Lytechinus pictus: one gene and its partners. The protein of the gene in region 1 interacts with the protein of each later gene in a pairwise test. Links are inferred from orthologs where the notes say so. Each region holds a gene or a part of one and is shown in the gene's direction. Other genes may lie near its edges.

What was found.
Region 2: the proteins of intersectin-1-like (region 1) and protein numb-like interact in a two-hybrid assay, tested with the Caenorhabditis elegans proteins (2 studies listed by BioGRID). The link is inferred for Lytechinus pictus from reciprocal best matches to the Caenorhabditis elegans genes itsn-1 and num-1.
Region 3: the proteins of intersectin-1-like (region 1) and E3 ubiquitin-protein ligase NEURL1B-like interact in a two-hybrid assay, tested with the Caenorhabditis elegans proteins (2 studies listed by BioGRID). The link is inferred for Lytechinus pictus from reciprocal best matches to the Caenorhabditis elegans genes itsn-1 and F10D7.5.
Region 4: the proteins of intersectin-1-like (region 1) and splicing factor 3B subunit 4-like interact in a two-hybrid assay, tested with the Caenorhabditis elegans proteins (2 studies listed by BioGRID). The link is inferred for Lytechinus pictus from reciprocal best matches to the Caenorhabditis elegans genes itsn-1 and sap-49.

What each region holds. Positions count from the first base shown.
Region 1 is NC_087248.1:26,509,460-26,516,941, forward strand, and holds the start of intersectin-1-like, read left to right. Parts: upstream 1-4,454; 5' UTR 4,455-4,631; intron 4,632-7,482. Other genes in the region: quinone oxidoreductase-like protein 1, read right to left, coding at 4,010-4,084.
Region 2 is NC_087251.1:3,401,039-3,407,906, reverse strand, and holds the start of protein numb-like, read left to right. Parts: upstream 1-3,848; 5' UTR 3,849-4,322; coding exon 4,323-4,336; intron 4,337-6,868. UniProt on the Caenorhabditis elegans protein: Involved in the tethering and targeting of pkc-3 to modulate the intracellular distribution of the kinase.
Region 3 is NC_087256.1:2,719,457-2,726,716, reverse strand, and holds the start of E3 ubiquitin-protein ligase NEURL1B-like, read left to right. Parts: upstream 1-4,259; 5' UTR 4,260-4,507; coding exon 4,508-4,565; intron 4,566-7,260.
Region 4 is NC_087258.1:12,072,129-12,079,803, forward strand, and holds the start of splicing factor 3B subunit 4-like, read left to right. Parts: upstream 1-4,658; coding exon 4,659-4,773; intron 4,774-5,135; coding exon 5,136-5,281; intron 5,282-6,624; coding exon 6,625-6,753; intron 6,754-7,429; coding exon 7,430-7,610; intron 7,611-7,675. UniProt on the Caenorhabditis elegans protein: Subunit of the splicing factor SF3B required for 'A' complex assembly formed by the stable binding of U2 snRNP to the branchpoint sequence (BPS) in pre-mRNA.

The sequences.
Region 1 (7,482 bases):
GAGTTGGAACTCCCATGCACAGAAGATATCCTCCAAAGCTGCTCGTACTCTTGGAATCATACGTCGAGCATTGGGTAAATGTGACCTGAAAGTGAGAGACATTGCATACAAGCAACTTGTCAGACCACAACTTGAGTATGCTTCATGTGCATGGAATCCTCACATACAGAAAGATGTACAAACATTATTGAGAACATTCAGCGTCAGGGTGCTAGGTTTGTCCTTCATGACTATAGCAGAGAATCCAGTGTAACATCGATGTTGTCAACTCTTCACTGGGATACTCTCCAACACAGACGCATTCTTAGCCAATGTGAGATGTTCTACAAAATTCATCACAATTATGTTTACATCAACATGCCACATCAGATTAAGTTAAGCAGCAGTTCTCGTCCACAACGTTCACAACACACTGGACATCAGCTCAAGTACACCCAGCCTTTTTGTAGAGTGAACTGCTACATGTACAGTATGTTCCCAAGAACCATCCGTATTTGGAATACTCTCCCAAACGCTGCTGTAACTTCGACCTCTATACCTGGCTTCCGGGGAGCAACATTGCCTATCATTCAGCAAATGTTGCCTCCCCCTCCCCTTAAGATGCTGTAAGAGGGACACACACGCACCACCCGCACACTGCACCTAGCACACTGTATATAGTGCACCAAGAATACCACCACAGGATCACCACATCACCTGAAGCACTGGCAGCACCTGACATAGCACAACCCTCTCCAGGACAGCGTGTACGCTTTTGGGAGAGTACTTCTTCAAGGTTCAAGGTTATAGAGGAGATCCGAAAAATAGCGAACTAGTTTGCTACAATTCCCCCTGGTGTATATATCGAGGAGATCCGAAAAATAGCGAACTAGTTCGCTACAATTTCCCGTAGTATTTATATAGAGATCTGGAAATAGCGAACTAGTTCGCTACAATTCCCCCTCGTGTACATATCTAGGAGATCCGAAAAATAGCGAACTAGTTCGCTACAATTTCCAGTTGTATGTATATAGAGATCTGGAAAATAGCGAACTAGTTCGCTACAATTTCCTGTCGTTTGTATATAGAGGAGATCTGGAAAATAGCGAACTAGTTCGCTACAATGCCCCTTCGTATATATATAGAGGAGATCCGAAAAATAGCGAACTAGTTCGCTACAATTTCCAGTTGTATGTATATAGAGATCTGGAAAATAGCGAACTAGTTCGCTACAATTTCCTGTCGTTTGTATATAGAGGAGATCTGGAAAATAGCGAACTAGTTCGCTACAATGCCCCTTCGTATATATATAGAGGAGATCCGAAAAATAGCGAACTAGTTCGCTACAATTTCCTGTCGTTTGTATATAGAGGAGATCTGGAAAATAGCGAACTAGTTCGCTACAATGCCCCTTCGTATATATATAGAGGAGATCCGAAAAATAGCGAACTAGTTTGCTACAATTCCCCCTGGTGTATATATCGAGGAGATCCGAAAAATAGCGAACTAGTTCGCTACAATTTCCCGTAGTATTTATATAGAGATCTGGAAATAGCTACAATTCCCCCTCGTGTACATATCTAGGAGATCCGAAAAATAGCGAACTAGTTCGCTACAATTTCCAGTCGTATGTATATAGAGATCTGGAAAATAGCAAACTAGTTCGCTACAATTTCCAGTCGTATGTATATAGAGATCTGGAAAATAGCGAACTAGTTCGCTACAATTTCCCGTCGTTTGTATATAAAGGAGATCTGGAAAATAGCGAACTAGTTCGCTACAATTCCCCCTGGTATATATATATATAGAGGAGATCTGGATTTGACAATTTGACACGTCGTATATTATAGACTAATACAAGGAGATGGCTACAAATTTCGACGCTTATATATAAGCGTTGAAGATCGCTATATTTGCCATCTTATTATTTCCCATATATTATTGATCATAAATCAGTATTTCATGGTCTGTTATTTATTTTGTGTACAACTTATAGGTCTGGGTCTGCTGAAAAATAGGCTGGCAATTTAGTGAATCTTGCAAAAAAAAACTTAGGCATATTGACTCACTGAACTGTGCGATCTCGATTCTCTGCCTTTTTCAGTCAACAATGAGTATTAATCCAAATAGTGAGTTTGGTTTTTCTTCCATGCCACAGACTTTGCCACTTCTTAATTTTATCCAAAATATTTCAAAATATTTTTAAAATATAGAAATATCAAAACATTAAAGTTATTCCCTTCATTCCTTTTCTTCAAACATATAGTTTTATTTTATAGTCAACCTACGACGCTACGCTTGCCTCCTCTTCAAACTTAAATTTGCCTCTTTATAAAAAGGCAAATTTACTGGATACTGTACAGGATATATAAATGTAAATTCCCGATCAAGATATTCATGGTTTTATATGGAATTAATTTTGATATTATAAGCGACTGAAAACATAAATTTGTGGCTAATATGTCAAAACATTATCTGTCCCACGTGCAAACTATGTCCCAGTGATGACTTGTGAGAGAGTGAGCTCTGATCATCATCATGCTGGTCTTGTGTATCGTTCGATTTCGCATCCAGGTGGGTGTTTCATCAAAGTTGTCAGCCCTGACTAAATTGTCAGTGCTGACCATTTTAGTGAAAGCCTCGCTTTTGATTGGCTGAGAAGCTCCCGCCTCTGACTGTTACTGTGGTTACTGTTGGGGAAAGAAACTTTTTAGTGCTGACAACTTTCATGAAACACCCTGGCACCTAAAGTGCATTAAAAATCAGCGAAGCAGGTAACCTTTTCAATTATTCAGAAATTTGTGAGCAGGATAATTTAGTTGTGTCCATGCATGCAGTGTCAAGCCTCTGACTGTTACTATGGTTACTGTAGGAGAAAGACAACTTTTTAGTGCTGCCAACTTTCATGAAACACCCACCTAGGCTAAAGAAGTGCATTAATTAAAAATCAGCGAAGAAGGTAACCTTTTCAATTATTCAGAAATTTGTGAGCAGGATAATTTAGTTGTGTCCATGCAGTGTCATGATTAGACCATGGAGCTATTTAAGCTTCATGATTAGACCAAAAGCTTCGGTCTGTTGGCTGTTCCACTGAACTCCGTTGGCTCCACTCACCAAATACAGAGACCAAAGTTCTAGCTCGATCTGTACAGGGACTCAATGGCCATATGTTTATGTATTAAGTTCGGATAAAACAGGGAAGTGAAGTTGCGCAACAGCCGAAGTAAGTCACTGTTTTTTCCCCTTTTAAGTTTAGTTTTCCCCGTTTTGGTGCATTTCAGGCCAAAACACGTAAACGGATACTTGGTATGATGTTCCTCCGAAATACTCCAAGTCCAAGTCCAAGAAGAGTTTATTAAACTGGAGTGGAGGTGTATACAGTTCTCCTTGTAATTTGTATATTTATGAAATAAAGACAAAAATTGATGAGCCCCATTGGGGGGATTTTGCATTGTTTACCCCCTACTATGGTGGCTGCACGATAGCGAGCCGTCTGTGTACGAGGAGAAATTTATTATTTAAAAAAATGTTAAAAAACTCCTCGAAACAGACAGCTGGCAGATGTCTACGTCATGATTTGCATTTGAATTTAAATTAATCACTCCATCCTTTTTATTTTACCAGTTACAGTCAGTATAACAACTAACATTATTAGTTAAAAAAGAACTTCAAAACAATGTCTTTGTCAATGCTCCTTCACTCCTTCCCTACCAGCTCTTTGACTTTCTCCCTCCAACCCTCAGTCACCCCTCCCTCCCTCACTCACTCACTCAGCTATGTCCTGGACCGCCTCGGCCCCGGCTGCGCCCTTGGCCTTGCCGCGGCGGCTGCCGCGCCGCCGGCGCGGCGAGCAAAGGCAGAGCATGCATGCCAAGTCCCATGACACGTTGAGTGCAGGGCGCGGAAGCCAAAGGCACGCACACACATAACTTAGTAGTACTTACACGGATGCAATCATCATCAAAATCAAATCAAAGTTCCCATAGTTCGATTCAAATTCTGTCTTAACTTACAGATTCACGTCACTCACCTCATTCCCAAGTAAAAGTTCTTTTTTTATGAGCGGACCGTCTGATCTTACTGACCAATAGACGAATTTCATCATGAATATTCACTTCTGGCTTTCTGCTTGAATTGACCGAAAGTCCAGTAACTTAACGTAAGCAGACGATATATGTCAAAGGTCATAATTGTGATTATTTACTGCTGTTACATGGATTTCTATTGGTTCGTATAGAAGGGGCGTGCTAACGTTAGAACTTTTATTGAAGACTGATTTGCTTGTTTTCTTGATGTTTTATAAATCGAATAATATATTTCATTGTGCAATGTGTGTATCAGATGATTCAATTACAGAATTGCCAAGTCTGTAGCTAGTATCATTCATTCCGTGTCTACTCTGAAACTTGTAATAATTCCACATTCTCAGAAAATTGACCAATCAAACTTGCGCTTTCTATAAAGGTGGGTGGGTTACATTTCCTCTAAGTTAGGTTCTACATGTAGCAAGATGGGCGAGTCCACTTTCTGTCTCCGGATCGAACCGAGCTGAGTTGATTAACTTCTTTTTTTACTAGAATCCCCCTTCGTTCACCCTTTTCAAAGGACCTCTGTCATTTATTAAACATTTCATCAATATTAGAGTATTACTGGTGAGTATGATTTCCAAATCGATGTGCTGCCAGCCTGCCACTGCACTCGTTGATGTGACCTGCGTGAGTGGGGACGGATGTGTGACTGTCTGTGAGCGGTGAGCACTGCCACCACTGAGTGACATGACTGAGCTGATGAGGCCTTTCCTTGGCTTTATTATTGGGCTGTGTCCTGTGACCACACTGGCCTGAGCCTGAGGCTGTGGTGCACTAGTGTGACTGTGGAGTGTGGGCAGTGTATAGGCTATCATTGAATCAAATAAATATCATGTCTGTTTCCGTAGTACAAATGTTGAATATTAATAATAATGTCATGATAAAAAAATAGAATTGAAAAAAATATGCCGGATGCCGGAGTCATCATGTAAATTGTAATGTGTGCCCAAAAATATATATATTGACACTTCAAAAAAACTCCAAAGCATAGATCTAATTCCATAAAAAATTAATAATATGACCAAAAGTAACAAAAATGCAATTACTGAATCATATAAAAGCCATGTTAATTCCGTAGTACAAATGTTGAATATTAACATGATTAATGTCATAGAAAATAGAATTGAAAAAATTATGGTAAACGGAAATTATTTACTTACTACCAGAAGCTTGTTTTTTGCCAAAAATCGGACGCAGTTTCCAATTATCGGACGTGTAGAGTTGTGCGCCGCTGCCGCGATCAATTTTGGCAATTTAAATCGCGCTCTAGACTCCAAAATAATTGCTCAATTGTTGATAAAATAATTTTAGCTGCGCAATGCCGATTTTAATAAGGTATTTCTATCAATGATTTTGATATAGAAATCGGTAAATAATAATTTACTTACCAAATGGACCTCTTTCGGCTCTAAACATCGGACGTCTTCGCTCAGCTGGGCGCGACTTTGTTCTGAAAATGAGCGCGCGTGCGTTAACAGCTCACGCATTTCCAATTCAATCGGCCGATATGTCCGATGTTTGGGATCGTGCCATACAATGTATTTCCTGCCATGGGGAACCCTGCAGCGGCCATTGCAGATTTTTTTTTGCGATAGATCGAACATGGGTGCGGTCTCGGCGGTGATATTTCCGGCGAAAATCACTTTCCCCTTAAGAGATTCTTCTGGAGTCCATAATTAGCGAGGGTCATAAGAATCTTTGCCACTTTGGAAGTCAAAATCATGGATTTTACCCCTGGAATATTTGTTTGAGCAGCAACCTGGATCTACTGTGTGTGCAGTTCAATAGTAGGTATGTTCATGTATCTCAATGCATGCAAGTCCCCCGCCAGTGCAGGTCCCTGTAGTTGTGGGGAGGATCGAGTTGACGTCATTTCCGTCCGATATTTGGAATCGTCCGATGTTTGGGGGTTTTACTCTAGACAGATTTAAAATTGATATGCTCCGCGGTATCCCATCTGTTAATAAGCCAGTTCACGGTTAGCTCATGATCAACTTTTCTCAAATGACCTTTGTGATTTTTCATTAGGATAAGCACTATCATTTTCAAATGTAGATGTTGCGTAAGCTTTACCAGTAGTAGAGTACGGTATTCAAATTCTAAGAGCAAAAGGCATTGTATAGACCAGGTGACTAGAATAGAACATCAGGGATAAAGTTTGGAAATCTGTTTATTGTCTGCCTTTGGCACATTTGACTATTGTTTAGGCTACTGTCAAATACCAGTGATTATGAAGGCTCTATTTATTACTCTTCATCTTGGATGTGATAAAATGAATATTTTGAAAGGAATACATGAATAATCATCAAATCACAAATGCCTATGTCAGTGAATTTGAAAGCCATGTTCCTTTTAATAGGCAAATTGCACAAATCATAAATTTTCAATTTTTGTAGGAATGCCATAGCAGATAGCAATATGTTAAGTTAAGAAAGAAATAAGAAAAATTATGTCTGACCTGATAAACCAAAACTTCACACATGGATCATTTGTTTTTTGTTTTTGTTGTCAATTATGTTCTGTGATGAAAAATAATAATATTTGATTTGGTCTACATGTATGGTGGAAGAAAATATTGCTCATTATTTTTCAAATATTGAATGAATTATTCTTTGTTCAATTAAAAATAATGATAAATGATGTCATGATGTACATGTACATGTAAAGGGTTTTGTTATTTTTTTTTAAAATAGATAAAGCAAGTAGTAATCAATGCTATTGCCACTAAAATCAGGGGGAAAAAATGCAAACCAAATCAATCAATAAATGTTCTTGTACGTACATTTGATTTCTAAGATAAATGCCTCTGTGGTAACAATTTCAAAATGGGTTCATACCATCCAAGTGTATCTTTGCACTGAAAAAGATACTGTGTCATAAAATTCAGCAAGAAATTGTGTCATTGCTGAAAAATAGGAAAATAAGCTTGTGATTCCAGTCAAATATCAGGGGCCCGTTTCTCAACACCGTCATAAGTCTAACTTCTTGACTAAATCGAAGATGGTGAGCTACTTGTCCGCTTACCGTTTCACGACGCCCTCTGCCAAGATCGGGGACAACAACCTGACTAAATATTATTTTATGACAACTCTGAACCTGTCATAACTTCTTTCTTAATGACATAGTGGCTTCACGTGGGTAGACTATGACATGCGAAAGTGCCTCGAAATTTGAAAATTATAATCTTACGTAATCATTAATAGAAGTTGAAATTACATTGAAAAACTTGTGTGATAGATCATTCAATAATAATTGTAATGCACAGTAACTATAAAAACTGTTGGTAAAATGCAACAAAACCATTCATTTTTTAATAAAATAATGGAATCGATAAAGATTTTACCACGTCAGGTTATCCATAACTGGACTCGTATTCGTCGTTTTCAGACACTTATCAACATTTTTGATAAATTCT
Region 2 (6,868 bases), on another chromosome or scaffold:
TGAAAAATATCATCTGCAAAAGAACGCGGCGCCACGGCCACCCTTTCAGAATGCTGCATATTGCACGTAATTTTGCACAGCCATATCGCGATGCAAGTGTTTTTGTGTGTGTATGGCTTTGTTGTATGGTATACTCGTTGTGTGTGTGTATGTGTGTACGTGTGTACCGGTAATATATGATATTACCGATAATAAGATACCGTGAAGAAATATCAGCAGAAGATAACCCATGCCATGAACCCATGACTGAGCTACGTAATCACACCACAGGAGATAAGCCCTTAAATTTATCAATTTTTATAGAAGGGATTTTCGGAACTTCAACTTGAGGATAAAACCAGCAGATTTAATATTTAGGTATGTATTTTTCTTGCTAGCCGAATTTCAGATTTTTATTTGTCACTGAGACTAATTAACGTTAGTATTAAATTAGATCTAGCCTAATTAGCCGACAAGTATTTATGCGGTATACGGTACCGGAGGCGGAGGGCGCGGATTTAGAGAGGCAGGAGCCTGGGAGGTGGTACCGTATACCGGTACTTTTTTTTTTACGGCGGTAGACAGTTTTAACGTTAGTACCGGTACACGAATCTCAATATGAAAAATGAAAGTTCTCTTTTCTAAAGACTTTGACTCTGAATAGAATGTGCAAGCAAAAAATTGTGGTCTATGTGATATGCGATCCATAATTTCTGCAATCTTCTGTTCTAACTTCTAATTAGATCTAGAAATGTAGAATCTAGATAGATCTAATTCATGTTAAAATTGTTAGAATTATGCATGCCATGACCTTCGATCATTACTTGATAAAGTTTAGCATTGCTACCGTACTTGGTTTTATAATGTTATTCATCAATGACACTTGACAGTTTGCCATGGAGAAGTATGGTTGTTCCTATATGAAAAGGTCATATCTTGTGTGATTTCTTGTCTGAATCAATTTAATCTATCTTAGTTGCTTCAATTCATGATTCTTTTTCATTAAACCTCAACACAATTTTCAAAGATTTCTTGTTTTCTTTGACTTGGCCTTGGGTCTACATTTCATGTTCAAACTTCAAAGTCCATGTTCAGTTACAAATTACATGTACCGGTAGGCATATTTACATGTTGATGATAGTACCTTCTACTTAGATAGTTGTGTACATAGTGTTTCAAGTTTACATGACGCTTTGATACTGTACAAGTCTGTACATGTATCTACATTCATATTTTGCCAATGATTATGATGCACTAATATCTTTTTCAAATTGAAAAACAACAATTTTTCAATTATAAGTCTATGCATTTTGTAATGATGGCCTACGTATGTAAAATATGCAAAGTGGGTAATCCCCCAAAGCTGTGTGTGTTTTTTCTGAGTGTTTTTTAGGCAAAAACACTTTGCCGTAACTTTTCAGGAGCTATCATCTTATATTCTTAACAAAATCATGGAAGAGAACAGTATCAAATTGTTATGATGTGAAGGTATTTTGTGAAGGCTAATGATGTTTACTGTACAACTTTACAATACTAGAATTTACAGTCAAACCCTACTGTAGATACTAATAGGAATTTATGGAATGACATCCAACTAATTTCCAATGACATTTTAACAAATTGAACATTGTACTTCACTGATAAAATCATGCTGTTTTTACCTTGGTCATATTTGCTGCCCTCTGTGATCATGAAAGAGTTTGTTTTCATTTGGAAACCTTTGCTTTTGCTTTCATAGGACTTCATAAAGGAGTGAAAATGTGACAAGGATGTGGAGGGAAAATAAACCCCACTACCCACAGGAAATACATTTTGAAATATTAAATCGAGAAGTTAAAGCAATCCATGGAAAATCACCATTTTGATTATAATTCACATTATTGACCTTTTACCAGGCTTTTATAGGCTATATTAAACATTTCATCTGACATTTTGTTAAAGTATCTTATTTTAACAAAAGTACCCTCTTTTTAATTAATGTTTTTGGGGTAAAATAGTTTTGGAGGGATATTTATTAATTTATGAATATTAAATTTTGTCTAGCAAAATGTGATATTTTGTCATGATTTTTCCTTGGGACTTAACAAATTTTCACATATTTGTTTTGTCACTTTTATACCCTTTTGAAGTTTTGTGGATAGTACGTACTCCCTATATTTGAGGAGTGCTGGGAGCATACCATTATGATCTAGATCAATGGATTGAAGGAAATAGGTCCATGCACTGATAAACAGATTGTTGTAAAAATAGAAAAACAAATATTTGAGAACGTTTGAGGAAAATCCATCAAAGATTTATAAAGTTATTAGAATTTTCTTTTTATTTGAGACATCACATGAGAGCAGCTTCCCATGTATGGTGAAGGGTTTATTGTACCTTCATTTTGATCAACAATCTATTTCACAGGCACTCCTGAAAAAAGAAAATTTCTAGCCATCTCCCATTAAAAATTGAAATCGATACATTTTATATTACATGGCAATACATGTGAGACAGCTGCTTGTATATGATGTCACCATGGAGCTGTTCTCTGTAATAGCTCCATGATGTCACAAATTGAAAACTTGAAATTCTAATAACAATCTTTAAATTGATTTTCCTCAATCCTTCATAAATATATTTCTTATTATTTTTCCGGTATTTTTATAACAAACTTATATGTCAGAGGGAACTTCCCCTGTGAAAGAAATACCTGTACCTGGACATCATTTTTTTTTTTGTAAGTTGAAATATTAAGTAATTCTGTAATTCACAAGTCTATTTTCTTTGTTTGTAGTATATGTACTTTGTATCCTTTATTGTAAAGCGCATAGAGAAACTTTCAGTTTATTATGCGCTATATAAGAGAAGTATTATTATTATTATTATTTTTGTTTGTCTTTTAATGAATACTCTTATAAAATTCATTTTGATCAATGTGCATTTATAAACTCAAGATGAAATTTGAAAAAATAGGATAAAGTTTATTTTTGAAAAAATTAGTATAATGAATAAAATATTGAAGTAACTTTAATAGTCCTTTCAGATGAAAACAGATGTATACATTCTCATAGTAGGCAGGTCTAAAACATAATGCGATGATTTGATACCTTGTGGCAAGGAGGTCTTTGATATCTATCCTATCAACCCCTAAAGATATTGATTGGTTTATAATCCACCAAATTGCCCAATGCAGTGGGGCTTATTTTCTTGTACCTGCATATTGTATTTGTGTCCTATATCTCAATTTACCTTTTAAGAGCTGAGACTAGATTTATAGAGGGAACAATTCCTGTAAAAGAATGGTTTTAGGACTTCTAGCCTTTGATCTTTCCTAGAATGAACCTAATCCATTTGATGAATAGTGACAATCTGTTTGTAGAATTGAATATAACACACCCCCTCACCTGGCTTGTTGACTGCTCAGTGATTCAAAGAGGTAATAAATGTGTGTTTACACCAGGTTTATGCAGTGTTTCCCCCCAAAATGAAACATTTCCCTAAAACTCTTAAATATGGAGTTATGTGATTCCAGGAATGTGTTGAGGTAATCCCGTTAGAATAAACAATTTGAGACTGGATTGAACAGAAATTAGGTTTTAGTTTCATTCCAGTTTGGTATACATGTACATGTACATATAGAAATGATTGCATAGTTTTGAGATGCTTCATGGGGTAGGTTATGACCCCCATAGGGATGGTCCATTAGGAGTAGTAAATGCACATACCATTTTGTTTTAGGGGTGTTTCAGAGCCCTAAGCTTATGTGAAACTTAGCAACTGCTTAATTTGTGTTTATCCAAAGAGTGTATTGCTCGTGCACTCATTGAAGTGCAGTGTAATTATGAGTCACCTTCAAAATCAGAATGTTTCATGAAAGCAGAGCTTTTGTAGGATAAATGGCAGACAAGCATTGTTCTGTAGACCATACATCCCTCAATTTAGCTTAGTGTAGCTCACCATGCATACATACAAAACACAGACAGGCTTGGGTAATCCATTTGAAATGCTCCCCCACTGTTTGAATACTCTAATCTCAACCTAAGCACTCTGGTATGTGAGAAAGTTATTTGCATGGGTTTTGGGGGGTTACTGAAGCATCCTAAAACTTTGTATACACAAACTGCACTATTGGTCAGTCAGTATTGTATTAGCACAGGGAAGTACTACACATTGAGGATTCTCTCATTGGCTGTGTTTTGTTATACTACAACTACAAGTAGAATGAAGTATCTGTGCCACCTATGTCCTCGCCACCTTTACCTCTAAACATTGTGGAATATTCATTGGATATAAACAGTGGTCTTCTTCTCATGTATTATACTAGTTAACAACAGAGTAAAGTCATATCAGAAGAAATCAAGATGGGAAGACTCAAGTGAGTATAAAGTTAATATACTGTACATTGACCTATGTATTGTTACAGCCAGGTGTTTTCATTTGACCTTTTATTTATTGTAGATTTAAGTTTTAATTCGTTCTTTTAAAAACAATTTTGAGAACAGGAATCTTTCCTAATTGAGCAGCAGGCAAATCACATTTTACTCATTTTTATCATAAAAATGTAATTAAAATACTAGGTTTATTGCCTCCTTGGACATGTTGGAGTCCTGACTCTTCAGGCCATTTATATTATAATAATTAGGCTACACTGCTACATATATGTGTTAATAACATATTTTCCCTTACAATGTACATTGGGGATTCGTGAGGTGTCAAGTTTTTTTTGCTCACACTAGACTTTGTTGTTTGTATCGTGTTTAATGCATTTGTTGATTTTAGTTACAAGTTTGACTAAATTATTGAAGATTTTCCTTCATTTCAGAATTTTTTTGTTTTGAAAGTTTACACATACATTTTGTTTTTCTTGTTGGCTTTTGTGTAGACAACATCTACATATACATTGTAATTCAGTTCAAACATGAACTGAATCCAGGCAATTTAAGTAGCTACATTAGCTAATATGCCATGCACTCCTCAATTTAGCAAAAATCCTACATGTAAATGCTGGATATCCAAAAAGTGTGGAGCGAGGCGGAGGTACATGTATGAAAGTACAGAGTGAGGTGAAGGTATAATGTCTTCATAGAGCACATGATTATGCCATCAGTTAACTTGTGTGTGTATTGGTAATAGCATCAAGCCACACTCTATGCTAAGCCGACAATGTAGCACCTGTAGACACATTTAAATGCTGCTCTTGATAGCTACAGTGTAATTATTTGAAAAAAATATTTTTCCAGTTCTGAATTGATACAGCGTAAATTCTATTGATATGGGACCTAAGTAAATTTCGGCAATAAAGAAACAAACTAAATTTTCATAGGTCAAGTAGATTTGATGGCAAGTGGGCACTACTGTATATATCGAAAAGCTTGCACCTGAATATTATACTTGCTCAGATCAGAATTTTATTACTGTGTATTTTACTGGTAGGCCTCAGTAAACTGCAATGAAATAAATAGATGGGAGGACCATTGAATTGTAGCTCAACCCAAGAATAATGAGATAGAATAACAAATTTTGTCATTCTCCAAAAAATACCTGTCTTACTGGTGGTACTCCGGGCTGAAAATAATCTAAATAGAGTAAAATTAAGCAAACAAAACCCTGAAAGTTCCATCAAAATCTGATCACAAAAAATGAAATTAGTTGAATAATCTAGAATTTATGGCATCATGATGTCATGAAAATGCAATAGATGGGCGGATGTCATGTCCTTACTTTCTTAAAATCATAATTATTTCATATATGAGTATGGTACATGTATGTCTCCCAAGAGTCCCATGCAACAAAATAAGTTGCAGCAATAATTATCTTACACATTGAAATATTGAATCAATAGTCAATATTTTTTTTTCAATTCTTGGAGGACAAAATTTGAAGAAACGATTTCATAATGATAATAGAAAAAAGTGGGGATACATGTATGATATCAGCTTGCTCATTGCCAGGCATATACATGTACATTGTAGAACTGTTCCGCTATTAGAAACATGCAAAAGTTTGAATTGAAATAACTTTTTTGATGAAATTTTCAAATTATATTATTTTCATCCTGTAGTACCCCTTTAAAATTCATCACTATCTGAAAAGCATTCGAAGCTGATGCCTGATGGGGACTGGAAAATTCCTGGAGACCCTTTAAATATTGCTGATTTTTACATTTACATGTAAATGATGATTTCTATACAACCTTTCTTTTTAGTTTTCTGTATTCGATATAATTTTTCTTGATTTTTTCATATTTTTAGCCTCTTATTTTTCATGTTTTATAAGTTATTTAAGCCTATTCATTTACCATAATTTCTTTTATTTCATATATTTCAGGGATTTTATACACCTGTTCATTATTTCACTCTCTATTTTTTAACTGGATTATCTGCCCATTGGTGAAAAACAAACAGCTCTCAGCCCATGCAAGAAAGGACATTTCATGTTTTTTCTTTGGTTGAAATCAAAAGAAAAAGAATGAGATTAGAATAAATGTTGTTAATTTGCAATTTTGCTTAGTTTTCCTTTGGCAGATTTCTTTACAGAGCACATGTACATGTACATGTTACAGTGTACATGTACATGTTACAGTGTACATGTATTGCCAATCTGCATTATCTGAGTACAGGTTCATGCTGTAAATTATAATCCTAGGATACATGCCATTCTGATGAACTTTGCATGACAAATTTAGTTTATCAGCTTTATCTGCAGATAAGTGATGACCAAAGATAAGTGGATTAAATTGAAGCAGTGTAGTGGAAGTTTAATTAATGATGCTGGCTGCCTGTATTTCTTGAATTGAATACTGATTTGCTGCCCTAGAAAGAAATAGTTAAAACATGGAGCTACATGTATTACTCCATGGTTAAATTGTTGTACATAACATGTTGAAATAAGAAAGGAGCGGGGGGGG
Region 3 (7,260 bases), on another chromosome or scaffold:
ACCTTATTATTGACCATATTTAGCCAGCTTAAGCTCCGAACCAGTACATGCAATTACAAATGCATTTAGCTACTGCCCACACATGCAGTATGAACTGTGGAATTTACCCTTTGGCATATGACCCTTCCATTTTTTACAGCAATATCAAAAGTATCGATCAAAATTGGTATACAAATAGCAGAAGCTTGACATTGATTTCATTCTACAATGCATTTTTTCAATCAGCAATATTTACCACTAGTGATGGTTTTAATACTCTATCAGGAAGTTAACAGGAAGAAAGCATCCATAAATATCAATATCTCAATTAATGACAGATAGCAGCTTTTATAGAAGCTGTATATAAATCTTACAGTAACGCTGAAATCATACCTATTCTTGATAGCCCCTACCTCATATTTTTAGCTTGAATTTAAGCTTCAGTTCCATTTTTAATCTTTAGGTATTCATATTTCTGTTATATGGATTTGTAAGTTGCATTTCATAGCATGCCGTCTTGCCTTGAGTTCACAATCCATGATGCCATTGACTTGCTAAAACAGAAAAGATTAAACATTGTGAGTGGTATTCTGATAACCCTTGTTTAAACTTGAATTTTAGACCACACTTCTATGCGATGCTTGGTATCGTGATAATTCCTCAATTTTCGTGGCAAATATAATGTACCAAGTTGTACATTGAAATTTTTATTTTCCCATTCCTGTCATTTCATGACAATTTTTTTTCTATTGTTGTTGGATGATAATTATTTTTACATGATAATTAAGTTGACAACTGGCACTTCATAAAAAAGTGTGGTCTAGGTTAACCCAGGGTTAACTAAACCTTGGCTATCAGAATACCAACTAATATTGTTTAACGAGTAGAAATTAAAGTGTTTATGTTGCTATTCTATTGTATTTATTAATATATTTCAATTATCTTTATACTTAAGATGCATTATGTGGCTGGTTGAAGGTTCCAAAGCTTGCTGTTTGTATTCCTGCTTTACTCAATTAGCTTTAAGTTTATCATTGTATGTGTGATGAATAAAAATATGGGTAAAAACAAGGAACTGATTTGTATAAAATTGTTACTCAGAGAGTTGTCACATATTGTGCTTTAAATTGATTATTTTTTAAGACAAGAAAATAATAGTAATTATATTTTTTATAATATACATTTCCAGGTATTTGCCAAAGGAGAACTTGAAAGGTGCCTTATTTGTATAATAATGAAACTCTGGGAGTATTTTTTTATTATATTATTTGTTCATTCCATAACTTTGAACATTTTGTTTGTATTTCAAATATCTTGTTTTTTTTTATAAATCCTGAATTTGATGACATTTTTTTTCTTCCATTAACCCCCCCCCCCCCCTCATTCACACAAACAGTGCCTGTCAAAAATCAAATTTTGGTTTAAAAAAAAAAAAACTGGATAACCTAAAAATTTTGAGTTCAGAAAAAAGGAACTTTCCTTTTTTTCTGCAGAAGGGAGTAAAATTATATTTTCAGACAAGAAGTGACCCAAATGAGGGTTATTTTATCTATAGTGTTTACACATGGTTAATGGTCTGACACAAACCATACAAGATTTTTAAATGCTATTTGTTCTCAGTGCAAAGATTCTTTCATATGTGAAATGTATCCATATGAATGTTCATTCTATTATGTCTAAAGATTGAAAAGGAATGTCATTATTTTTAACTGGTATGTAAAAATGAAAATTATTCATCACTTCAAACTAAAATTTTGGGGTGTATATCTGTTCTTACAAAATCATGTGATAAAGGATTGTAGAAATTTAAGCAACAAACTGATGAAATCAAGCAATATAAAATGTTTATGCATATGTTACATACAGGGCATTATTTTAAAAAGGGTTTTAAAGTTGTTTAGTGTGTGTCAACTATATCTTAGATAATATTCAAGTGCAAGTTTTAATTACTTTTCTTTTTGGCTATTATCAGAAAGATAGTAATGAATTGGCTTTATTTTGCTGTTTGAATATTGATTAACTTTCAAACATGCAAATCTAAAATGATGATATTACTTATCCTTTTGCTTATAATCAGTGTGTAAGTTTCTAACCCTTCCCTTCATTTATTTTGATCTTGCACATTCCTTGCAGAGTAATCGTGCATTCTCATTCTTTCTGTAGCAAGAGCTGCAATATATGAAATTTTGTTTTCAAAACATGTGAGATTATTCTATTATATTGTTGATATCCAAGTTTGATAAAACATAATGATTCTTTTTTTTCAACCAAGTTTTATGATTATAAAATTCCAATGTTAGATTTATTGATTGATTAATTGAAGTTGTCTATTACTTAAATTTGGTCAATTTGGGTTTGGAATTCAAGGCCTTTCTAGACTGTGCTGTAAAGAATTTAGGAAGGGCTGAGACAGTATTTGAATGAAAGTAGTCTATTGGTTTGCCTTATGTCTTCTTCTGAACTAACTATGCAAATATGTAATCATAAGACATATTGTGCTGCTTTATTGTGATGCAATCCATGCATGTTGCCTAAGGCAATCAATGTATGTAACCTAATGCATTAAATTTCATGGTTTATTCTTACACTTACACAAACAATGATTGGAAATAATAGAGAAATTAGTGGTTTGGTCAAAATTTGCTTGTTTCCATTAATCTTCTGAACAGACAACCCATATGACATTGGGTATATTTCTTGCATTGTAATTTATTCCCAATATATATAGGCCTGTCTTTTGCCAATTTGTATTAAGGCCTGCAAATATGCTACAAACTGCCTCTGCATGTAATCATGTCTATAATCTATGTGTTGTATCATAATATTTGTGGTATATATCATTAAATCTAGTATACTGCTGATTTAAACTTCTTTGAATTTATCTGTGAATTGTGTACCCATATTAGTGGGAAACGATGTGAAGAAGTAAAATTATCAAGAAAAAACTTTTCCTTCTATAGCATGGAGTGAATATGATATGTAAGTAGGAAGAGACTGAATGTTATGTGTGATAGAGGAGATTTTTGTGAGAGAAATAAAAAGTGGGCATAATGAGAGTGTACAGTATATATGGTCATTATTTATTTATTAAAGTATGAAGAGTGGTCATGATAAGAGAAGGATGTCATACTGAGAGAGGTAATAAGAATGGTCAGATGAAGAAAGTCCAACCCTACACAAAGTTGATTTGAATGATAAGTGAAAAATCCAACAAGATTAACACTGAAAATTTCATCAAAATCCAATTTTAAATAACGAAGCTATGACATTTCTAAGTTTCACTTGATTTCACCAAACAGTTATGCATCCTGGTTGGTATGAGGGAGCTGATGACACCCCACTAAAGTTCTGTATTTTATCATATGAAATACGAAATATTCTAATTTTCACCTCATTGTCCGTGTAAAACAAGTTTTGTTCCTCATGAACATGAGATATTACCATTGTTTTAACATTCTATAATGATGGAGAGCTAGTGGGTCATATTTACAGAAAGTGGTCATGATAGTATATGAGTGGTCATAGTTAGGCGTGAAGATGTCATTTTGAGAGAGAGAGCACTAAAGTGGTCATAATGAGGGATATATAGACCTATCATGGTCAAAATAAGAGACAGAGTGGCCACAGTGTGGAAGAAATTTAGAGATTGGTCATAAAAGACAGAGATCGAAATTACAGAAAATTGTCATAATATGAGATAAGAGATCGAAAGTGAAATGGTCATCATTAATTCGGCCTACGAATGCAGTGTCATTGTGTGAGAGAGAGATCACATTCCAAGAAAAAGTGGTCATACTCATACTAGATGAGAGAGAGGATATAATGATAGAAATAAAGCATAATTAGTAGTAATTCATTGAATTCATAGAGATATATTCTAATAATGCACATTATTTTATAGGCCTCCATCAGGCCCGTAAATTTCAATTACTTTTAGTTTTAGGGCACTGCCGATAATAAAACTAAAAGGGCACATTTTTACATAAATGAGAAAATTCAAAGAGTGCCAAAAACATACAAGGCCACTGAGCTGAGGCCTATCAATATGACATCCAATTAAAGATCATGGTCTGAATGACCTTGGAATTTTGATGATAGTATGATTGAAATTATTTTCATCTTGATTAATTATTTTAGCTACGCTACGTGCGCTAAGCGCCAGGCTACGAAGAGATCACCTTTTGACTGCCGTGGCCCGTAGATGCTTTCCGGATCCGGTGCGATGTTTACACGCACACACCCAGCGATCGTACACCGTACCGATATATGCACGCACGTACGTACGTACGTACGAGGTACACTTTTCGTACATGAATATATGATCCCGATTCCAAGAATTTCAGCCTGCTGTACTGTACTGTGTACGTACGTGTACCGGTACCGGTATATTATCTTTATGAAGATCGAGATTTCTTCCGTTAATTAACATGGGAGAACAAATCGAATGCAGTATAGAAAGGATCAGGAGAGCGAGGAGTTGCTTTGAAATTTTACTTTGAAATTGAAGTCTACTTTATCAGGGTAAAAAATGGGACAGACTACTTCAGCACCGCCGAATCCCAGCTCCCAAAATAATCGCAATAATGGTAAGTTGCCATGGGTCGGCCGTCGATCAGTTGACATGCCACTCACACACACAGTCACACTGCACTGTGTTTGTGCCAGTGCCACTGCACAGGTGACAAGATGTCAGGCCTATCTATCTCACTGACGTGACGACAAACACATTAATCAGTCTTGACACTAACATTTTTTAATTAGTAGATCTACCGTATGACTATGACCAAGCCTAGTCTTGAGGACGCAATGATGTAGACAGCTGGCAGCCGTCTGTTTTGAGGAGTTTTTTAACATTTTTTTTTTTAAGTTCTCCTCATACACACAGACGGCTCGCTAGCGTGCAGCCACCATTAGGGGACTTGCAATGCAAAATCCCCCCGTCGGGGCTCTTCAATTTTTGTCTTTAATCAATAAACATTTTGAAAATTAATGCGACCAAAATGCAAATTGATATTCCCTCTTGGCATTAATTGCCAAGAAACGGTGAAAAATCGAGTTAAAAGGAACAAAAACAGTGACTTACCTCGGCTGTCGCGCAAATTCACTTCCCCGTTTTATCCGATCTTAAGTACATAAACATATGGCCATTGAGTCCCCTGTACAGATCGCGCTAGAACTTCGGTCTCTGTATTTGGTGAGTGAAGCTTGCCAACGGAGTTCAGCTGAACAACCAACATAACAGAGACCGAAGCTTTTGGTCTAGCAATGATGATGATTTTTAAAATAATGAAATAGGCCTATACTTCTTCATCATTGACGTCTTGACACTCTTCCCCCAGTCGCATAAGAGAAGGACCATAATAAAGATTGATTTCCCTCGGAAATCCATCTTTAGAAACAAAAATCACTTTAATTGTATTGATTTCATTAATTTTCACACCTTCCTACGCCTAATGCGTAGGAAGGTTTTAAAAATTATAACATGAAAATGTGAAAAATTTAAGGTTTCTTACCTAACTGATGCTGAGACTGAGTAAACCCCTCGATCCACATGTAAACAACGTAAGTACAATAGCGTCGACCCTTGAACCGCTTATGTATGACGTACTTCCGGCTAGCGATGCCGTTCTGATGAATAATTTATAGAAAAAAAATATTATTTCGCAAATTTTAAAATGTATCACGTAAATTAAAAATAATTGTCAGTTTCATACCAATTATTCTTAATTACGTGATAAATTTTAACATTTGCGAAATAATTTTTTTTTCTATAAATTATTCATCAGAACGGCATTGCTAGCCAGAAGTACGTCATACATAAGTGGTTCAAGGGTCGACGCTATTGTACTTACGTTGTTTACATGTGGATCGAGGGGTTTACTCAGCATCAGTTAGGTAAGAAACCTTAAATTTTTCACATTTTCATGTTATAATTTTTAAAACCTTCCTACGCATTAGGCGTAGGAAGGTGTGAAAATTAATGAAATCAATACAATTAAAGTGATTTTTGTTTCTAAAGATGGATTTCCGAGGGAAATCCATCTTTATTATGGTCCTTCTCTTATGCGACTGGGGGAAGAGTGTCAAGACGTCAATGATGAAGAAGTATATTTCATTATTTTAAAAATCATCATCATTGCGTCCTCAAGACTAGACCAAGCCTGCATATGACAATTAATGAATAAGGTCTATTGCTAATCAGAACCGCAATGCGTCGTGGGATCGAAAAGGGGGCAAGCTACGTCACGTGTAGCTAGCTCTGCGCACATGCAGCTGCAGTCTAACGTTAGAGGTCTATGCATGCCCCCTTTTCATTCCATCATGCTTTGTGGTGCAGGTTCCTTTGTTAATATTTGCCGATTCGCGATAAACCATGTGTCTGCTGACCGCGCATACATATCTTCGCAATTCTAGTAATTTAAAGATACCTATACCTATATGGATGCTTCTGAACGCAGTATTATTGGGTGTTGCAAGAAACTTGCGATCAATTGCAAGTCAATTTTTGGTCCCTAAAGCAATCATATGTCTAGACAGCTGGCAGCCGTCTGTTTCGAGGAGTTTTTAAACATTTTTTTATTTTTTAAATTTCTCCTCATACACAGACGGCTCGCTATCGTGCAGCCACCATAAGGGGACTTACAATGCAAAATCCCCCCATCGGGGCTAAGTTCAATTTTTGTCTTTAATGAATCAAACTTTTGAAAATTAACGCGACCGAAATGCAAATTAATATTCCCTCTTGGCATTAATGGCCAAAAAAGGGGGAAAATCAAGTTAAAAGGAACAAAAAAGTGACTCACCTCGGCTGTCGCGCAACTTCACTGCTCTGTTTTATCCGAACTTAATACACATAAACATATGGCCATTTAGTCCCCTGTACAGATCGCGCTAGAACTTCGGTCTCTGTATTTGGTGGGTGAAGCCAACGGAGTTCAGCTGAACAACCAACATTACAGAGACCGAAGCTTTTGGTCTATCATATGTCTTGCAGTTAATTGCAAATTAGTAATTGCTAATCTGCTCCTTGAAACAAGAAGTTTAATCTGATTTGCTACAGCTAACGTTGATCTATCAGTTGTAAATTGCAACAGAATATTTGCGATTGATCGCAAACATTTTCTTGCAACACCCCCTTAGGGTATCGCGATCTTAAAATTCCATGGCGATCGACTAGTGCGCGCTCGGCTGAAAAAGTTTCATAAAAAAGTGTGACCTTAATTTGCGTACGATCGGTTTGCAAAGTTTTAGAAACCAAATCAAGCAGACAAAGGTACGATA
Region 4 (7,675 bases), on another chromosome or scaffold:
ATGCACAGATAATCCAATGGAATGCTTATACCCGTAGCACACCGTCCTTTTCTATTGACAACAGAATGCAGGCAGGAATTCATCAAAGAGGGGAGCAACGGATACCTGCAATAAGGATCAAAACAAAATGAATATTAGAAAATTTGCTCTTCGGTATTCTTTCTGCAAATATATCTTCATTGATCAAGAAATTAATACCTCCTTTACCTGAATAAGCAAAATGCATTTTTTTTCTTCTATTTTTCATTTCTCCTGCAATAGGAAAGTTAGCAGATTATCTATATTTTTTTCTTCAGTGAAATCTTTAAAATTGTCTTATTTCACATATTAAGAGTATAAAATTACAAGAAAATTTGACCAACAACAAGATTGAAACTTGATAAAAGACAGTATGTAGTAGGGGCCAATATATTTTTTCTTCATTATCACATACCTCTAGTAGGTGTTGAATACAGAGAATATCACATTAAAAACTGAGTGAGTATACCAACCTATACATTTACAGAAGACCTGTTCTTCCTGCTAAGTACAGGGCTTGTTCCCCATCAGGACTCCTGATGCAGACATGGCCTGGATTGGCCCCAATCAATAGCACCTATGACTCTTGGAAACCTGTAGCAATCATCAAATTGTCGCTGGGTGGTTTGAATTTATCGTCATCGGAAACTTCATTGACTGTTACTCCTTGCTATTGCCTCAGAAAAATCTTTGATGATTCTGCACACGGATGACTTATAGTTGCTTCGTCTGCTTGCATCTTCTAAAAGGTACCTTTAATTATTGAATGATAAGTGATGTTATGTAATTGGTTTATTGATATGAAAGCCAATTGATACTTAACCATTTACGTTTGCAAACATTGTGCTTCTGTTATGACCTGATGTTTATGATGCACTGGAACTGCTTAAAGAGATTTTTCTTCGATTCATTAAAAAAAAACTCTACTGCAATAACAATCCATGCAAAATGGAGAATATCTCTGTTAAGCTGAAATGACATACCAATATTTCTTTTTGGGTGGTTATAAATCATCCTTCATGATAATTTCCCACTTGAATATGACATATTTGTATTAAAAAATGTTGCTACATTGTAAAAAATGAGAGAAAAATAAAATCCCCACCTATTTCCAACCCAAAGGGTTACATGTTTCATTCCGACAAAAACCTTTCTGTGAAATACCCCCAACACTCCCCCTCCCCTGTAAGGGGTTACTAGTACTCCTGGCTGAAAGCAGAAACAAAAATCATACAATTTGGATGATTAATAATGAATATTAGGTTTTGCATTAATTATTTCTGTGAAACATGTGCATGTTTTCATGAATATGCAAGAAATAGCCTGATGATGTCACATCCACACATTTTCCACACATGAATGTACAAGGGTTCCATGATATTTGCTCTGGCGACAATTACTCAATGGAAAATCTGCATGCTAAGCAAAACATAAAACTTAATTTTCATGACTAGATACTTCCAATCCTTGATCCTTACATTATTCTGAACTCGCAATAACTATCTTAAATATATAATCAGCAGTCAACCCCATTTTTACATTCCTGGAGGAAAAAAAATAATGATTATGATTTCAGATCACTAGAGAACAAGTGGGGATATGAATATTGCATATGAGATACACAGAACTGTTTCCCCCAAGTTATGTAAAACTTTAAAACTGAATCAATTCATAATTCTCCATCCAATATTGATGGTTTTTGCTAGTCGAATTGTTCTTTATCAAAATCTCATCATTTTTGGCCTGGAAAATCACTTTCATAGAACATAATTTGACCCCCCCCCCAATTACCCTCTGCTTTACAGTTCGCACATGAAAACTCACCAATGACATAAAACAAAGTCCTGTCAAAACCTGTAACATGACAGGCAATGTGTGGTTCTCTCTGTTGGTACCCCACTCTGAGAGGTTCATCCTCGTAGTATTCAAATGGATTCTTCCTGTCTCTTAATCCATGCTGTGGTCTTTCTATGTGTTGCTGAATCTGCATGGAAGTTAAAAGATTGTGTTTAAGAGTCACCATGAATGGGCAATTTATCTTTGAATTTCATTTAATTCAAAAGTGTTTAAAATGAGGAACAGAATGTGAAAGATTATACAGAAATCCTTAAAAAAAAGAAAGGATAAAAATTCTAATTGACATGAGTAGCTTTTCTATTTACCTACTTGTAAAAGTGAAGAAAAAAACCCTGCCAATTGTTGCTGATCATCATCATTGATCAAACCACGCACGTCATAGAGATGCTTCTATGAAAACTGATTTACTGAATCACTTTCAATTGGCTTTAATAATGAAGGCAAGGCACTAATTTTATGGAACTTTGTTTACACAAATAGAGGTTATTGCTTGCGAGTGACTTTCGAATAACATATTTTCATGAATCTTCATCAAAGTCTCATTAAACCTTTTTTTCTACCCCCCCCCCCCCCCCGGCATTCATCAAACTGACAATGCTTTCTTTCTCTCTTTTAAATAAATATTCAACAAAATGTCAGGATTAATTGGAGATCAACAAGCCTAGTGACCAGTAGACAAATATATATGTTAATAACACACAAGCAAGGTCCCCCCCCCTCTTCTTTTTTGTCAATTACTATGACAAGAATGAAAAAGTAACATACATGTCACATGATACATTTACAATTACATGATGAATTCAAATCCCAGAAATAATATTTTATTAAAAAAGGCCATTTTAATGACATTTAATTTTTTTAAAATATGAATTGATAAGGCATACCTCACTCTCTTGCAAGACGGCACAGCAGTTCAAAATTGGAGCCATGTTTGCTTTGTCTTGATTGAGCACAATCTGCCGAGTATGTATGGTCTGTTGCTGATATGGAAGAAAAAAAATAATGAAAAAAATATTTATTCATCAATCATACTGCAATGTCAAGGTATATCAAAGAAAAAAATAATAAAGCAGCTACAAATGTAGATTGATAAAATCCGCTGTTTCAGAGGAGTCGTTCAACATTTTCTGATTTTTTTTTGGTGGGACGGGATGCTGCGGAGCCACATGAAATCTCAGGGGAGCATATCCCTGACAGAAATAAACCTATTTATCGGTCTACTACAAATGTAGAGGACTGAAGATCAAATGCACTTGTCTGTGGTCTCATGTGAATATAACATTGGGACTCCTTGTGAAAAAAAAATACTTGAAACAAAGAGGGTGGGGTAGAGTTTATAATAACCCCCTAAAGAGAGAATTTTCAAAGTTAGACCTCAGTTAGATCTACTCAAATAATCAATTAGGCCTAGGATTTCCATTATTTTTTAATGTTTTGACGACACCGTAAATCTATAAGTGATCGCAAATGCAATGCCGAAGGTCAGTAAAACTTAGTTTTAGTAAAAGTAAAATCAGCTCATTTATAGCTGTTGGAGTAAACAGCGGTGAGTGGAACCCAATCTTTCTTAAATATTTTTTCAAAAAATAATTTAATCAGGGCTTAGCCTTAGGCTTAAGTTAGAGTTGACCCTTATTAAAATATTTTTTTTACTCCAACGATGTTGTAGGACTAACTCTAACATGGCTACCAGGTAAGCTTCATAGCTTGACCATCTATCCAAGCCAAGACAAAGCCAGCCCAGAGTAGAATGTCTAAGTTAGACCGGCTCTGTATTGTAGTGTTAAAAAAAAACTTATTTGTATTGCTGCTCTCCTGGACTTGCCTTGGCCTTGCTTCAGTCTCAGACAAAATTAGATGCACAGTAGCTGTGTTGGCAGGGCCAGGAGGAGTGGCAGGGGTATCGTAGACAACAAAAAATCCATGAAAATCACACGAAATCGAAAATCACTCACTGCCTGACATAACTAGCAAATAGTATCGACCTTTCAATCACGCCTACCTGGCCTGTGTAGTGTATGCTAATTGCGTCTCGCACTGCAATGCTCATAGATATGAACGCACACAAAAGTACATGGCTGGGACTGAGCAGCTTAGAGACGCGACGATAACAATGATTCAGATACCATTTCAAGTTTTCGAGTATACCTTTTGGAAAGTTAAAGCTATCAATAATAGTTACAGATGGAACTGAAGGCTCCGTCATGATTTAAGCTCCAACAATTATGTAATTTACTTACAATCTCGGTCGAAGTCGTGAAATATGAAGCTTTAGATAAGCCGATCACACCGAATCTCGTCTCTGTCCAAAAAACTTTTTTCTTGCAGCAAACTTTTCCGCAATCGAAATGCTGCTCTCTGATTGGTTAAAACAGTGGACTAACTTTAACCCACCGATTTAGTCCACCCCAAAGAGCTGACTAAGTCGTGACGTCAAATGACGCGTTTTATACCCCGGTATAACTTTAGTCGACCTTTGTGAATCGCAAAAGTTAGCCCCTAGGTGCTAACTTTAGTCCATGGATTAAAATGACGTCAAATGACGCGTTTTATACCCCGGGTATAACTTTAGTCCACCTTTGTGAATTCGGGCCCTTGTTATGAACAAAATACTGGCAATTGCCAGTGAAGTTCTAATAAATTCAATTCAATTCAATTCAATTCATCATCGTGTTACATTTGAGTTGAATAATAATAATAATAGGCATTTATATAGCGCCATCTATCTAGAACTATTCTATTCTGAGGCGCGTTGTTATTACTATAGAAGAAAATGACAAATGATGTTTGCTTGTCATTTTTTTGATGATCCAGATGCTACCGTCTATGTCGGAGGCTTGGATGAGAAGGTGACAGAGGCATTACTATGGGAACTCTTCCTACAGGCCGGTCCTGTCGGTAAGTCTCAGTCTTGTTATAAGGAATGAAATGAGGGCTGTAATTTGAAGAAATGAAGGTGTCTTCATTGTGAAAACACAAAGTTAGAATTCTTATTGATGGCTTGTTAGGAGTAAGCTATGTCAAATAGAAGAACAATAATCGCATCCCTTATATACTGTAAATGAGAAGTATGAGTATTTATAGAATACATCCACTAATAGCCATAGGAAATTGAAAATTGAATGGAAACTATGACAAGAGAAGCTGTGTAAAGCCAAAGGATTTCCAATTGATTTTTTTTTCAAGAAATCAGCAAACATGTACTTGTAGTTCTTAGTATTAAGTAGCAACCTCATCTCCAAATTTTCTTTTTCATTCAGTAAACACCCACATGCCAAAGGACAGAGTAACCCAGTCGCATCAGGGTTATGGCTTTGTGGAATTCATGGGGGAGGAGGATGCCGATTATGCCATCAAGGTGCTGAACATGATAAAGCTCTATGGTAAACCGGTCAGAGTGAATAAGGTAAGTTGATACCATGTTGGATGCTGTATGTAAAGAGAAAATTGAATTGTCCCCTATATTAGCCTAAATAGGAATTTAGACGTAATGGTAAAAAGGACAAAGTGGCAGTTAGACAAGATGGGTATATCATAGAACTGTTTGTAAGTTACCAGCTACCTTACGATCGACCGGTGATATTTTCTTAGGAATTATATCAACACCTATAGATGCAATTCTAGTGTATATCATTTAACACAATAATGGATCATCACTCATTCATAAATTCTCTTGTAACTTGTGAAACACCCACCGGGAGGTCATCAGAGGAATTGATCGTACATAAAATTTGATGAGTCTAGGCCTAGATGAGATCATCCAGGCTGCAACCAAATTGGCAGTAGACAAAATAGGGGTGAGACCAAGATCACCACTGACTTAGAATATGTCCTCAGCTCACAGCCAAGACTTTGCACACACATTGGTCTTGAAGGGTAATGCTTTGCCATGGTAATACAGGGAATAATTTTCCTGGTGTCGCATCGCAGTTTGCTCCACATTTTTTAAAGATTGCTGCACATGAAGTCATTTGTATAGCATATTTTTACATAGGACTGTGCATTACTAGTTGAGAGCTTTTCTCTTTAATGACCAAAAAATGCTATTGAAATTTGTAAAGCAAAATTATTCCATGGTAATATTAATATATGCTCTTCACACAAAGCTATCATAACTATGGGTAGTACAATTTCTCCTGTAGGACACAATTTTGCCGTTTCTCTTAGAATAATATTTAAATAATATAGGATTTGTATAGCGCACGTATCCACCTTGCTAGGTGCTCAAGGCGCTCCTATATTACCCCGGCTAAGCTAGTCTACCAATTCTGGTGCACACAGCTTTTTGAGGAAAACTTCTTGCCGGTATATCCATTTACCTCACCTGGGTTGAGTGCAGCATGCACAGTGTGGATAAATTTCTTGCTGAAGGAACACACGCCATGGCTTGCTAGCAATGATACATGGAATGTGGTAAGAAAGAACAAATGTCCTAAAAATAAATGAGATCATTTCCGTTGCAGTATAAGGTACAGTCTGTCCTGAATAAAAGCCATTTACCAGCTAATCATTACACTCCAAATCGGCAACACAATAAAAGTAATAACAAATCAGTGTTTGAAAATGCAAATTGGCAACTATTCAAAATAACGTTTCTTTCATCATTATTTTAAGTATGAAAATGAGTAGAAAATAAATGATTGTTAACAATTTGAAGATCAAAACAGGATTAATTTTGACTTCATGAAAGCTGTGTATCTCGCACTCAATGATATTGTGTGGCTAATAGATCCATGTAAATCTCATTAGGCATCGGCCCATCAGAAGAACCTGGATGTTGGAGCGAATATCTTCATCGGTAACCTAGATCCTGAGATTGATGAGAAGCTCCTGTATGATACATTCAGTGCCTTTGGCGTCATCTTACAAACACCAAAGGTAAAGCTTGATTTACATTCATATAATGCCATAAAAAATGGTTTGCTGCGTCAAAGGGAAAAAGGTTGGGGTCGGTTGGTATTTCTTATTAATGCTTGAAGTATTTTCTCTTTTTTTTCGGGTATAAAAAAGAGTTCCTAAATTTTTTTTTAATGGAGATTGAGGGTTTTTTAGGCACAAGTGTCTTCTGTTCAGAATATGGAGGATGTTCTACTGTCATTTGCCAATTTATAATTTTTTTTATCGCTTTAGAATGTGTAATTGTAAAAAAAAAAATGGTATGAAAATTAGGGATTTTTTGGGCCTTGTTGGCACATTTTTCTTCTCTTTTTTTTTTGGGGGGGGTTCAAATTGGAATTTTTGAAAAATATTAGTCTGCACTCTGCAGGTTTTACCAAGGTTGCAAGGTTGATCGGGTTACCCCAAACAATTTTTCCCTATTCAAACTTGGATAAGGGATGAGGATAATAGTTGCAGAATATTTTGTGAAAATCTAATTCTTCCAAAGGGCCTACCTTTCATAATGTTGATGATTCACATCGTGTTTCATTATTATATGGACCACTATTGAATGCTCACCTTTTCTCTCCCCACAAAAAACAAACTAATCAAAGTATTATATTTAAACAAACAAAAAAATAAGAACAATACTAAGTTTCCTCTTTCTCTCTCATAGATAATGAGGGACGTGGAGTCCGGGAACTCCAAGGGATACGCTTTCATCAACTTCGCCAGCTTTGAGGCAGCGGACGCAGCCATCGAGGCTATGAATGGACAGTATCTGTGTAACAGGGCGATCACCATCTCGTTTGCTTTCAAGAAAGACTCGAGAGGAGAGAGGCACGGCTCGGCAGCAGGTATGGAACTAATGGGTTAATTAATAATTTTCTAACAAAATTGATAATGGTTTGACCTGTACATT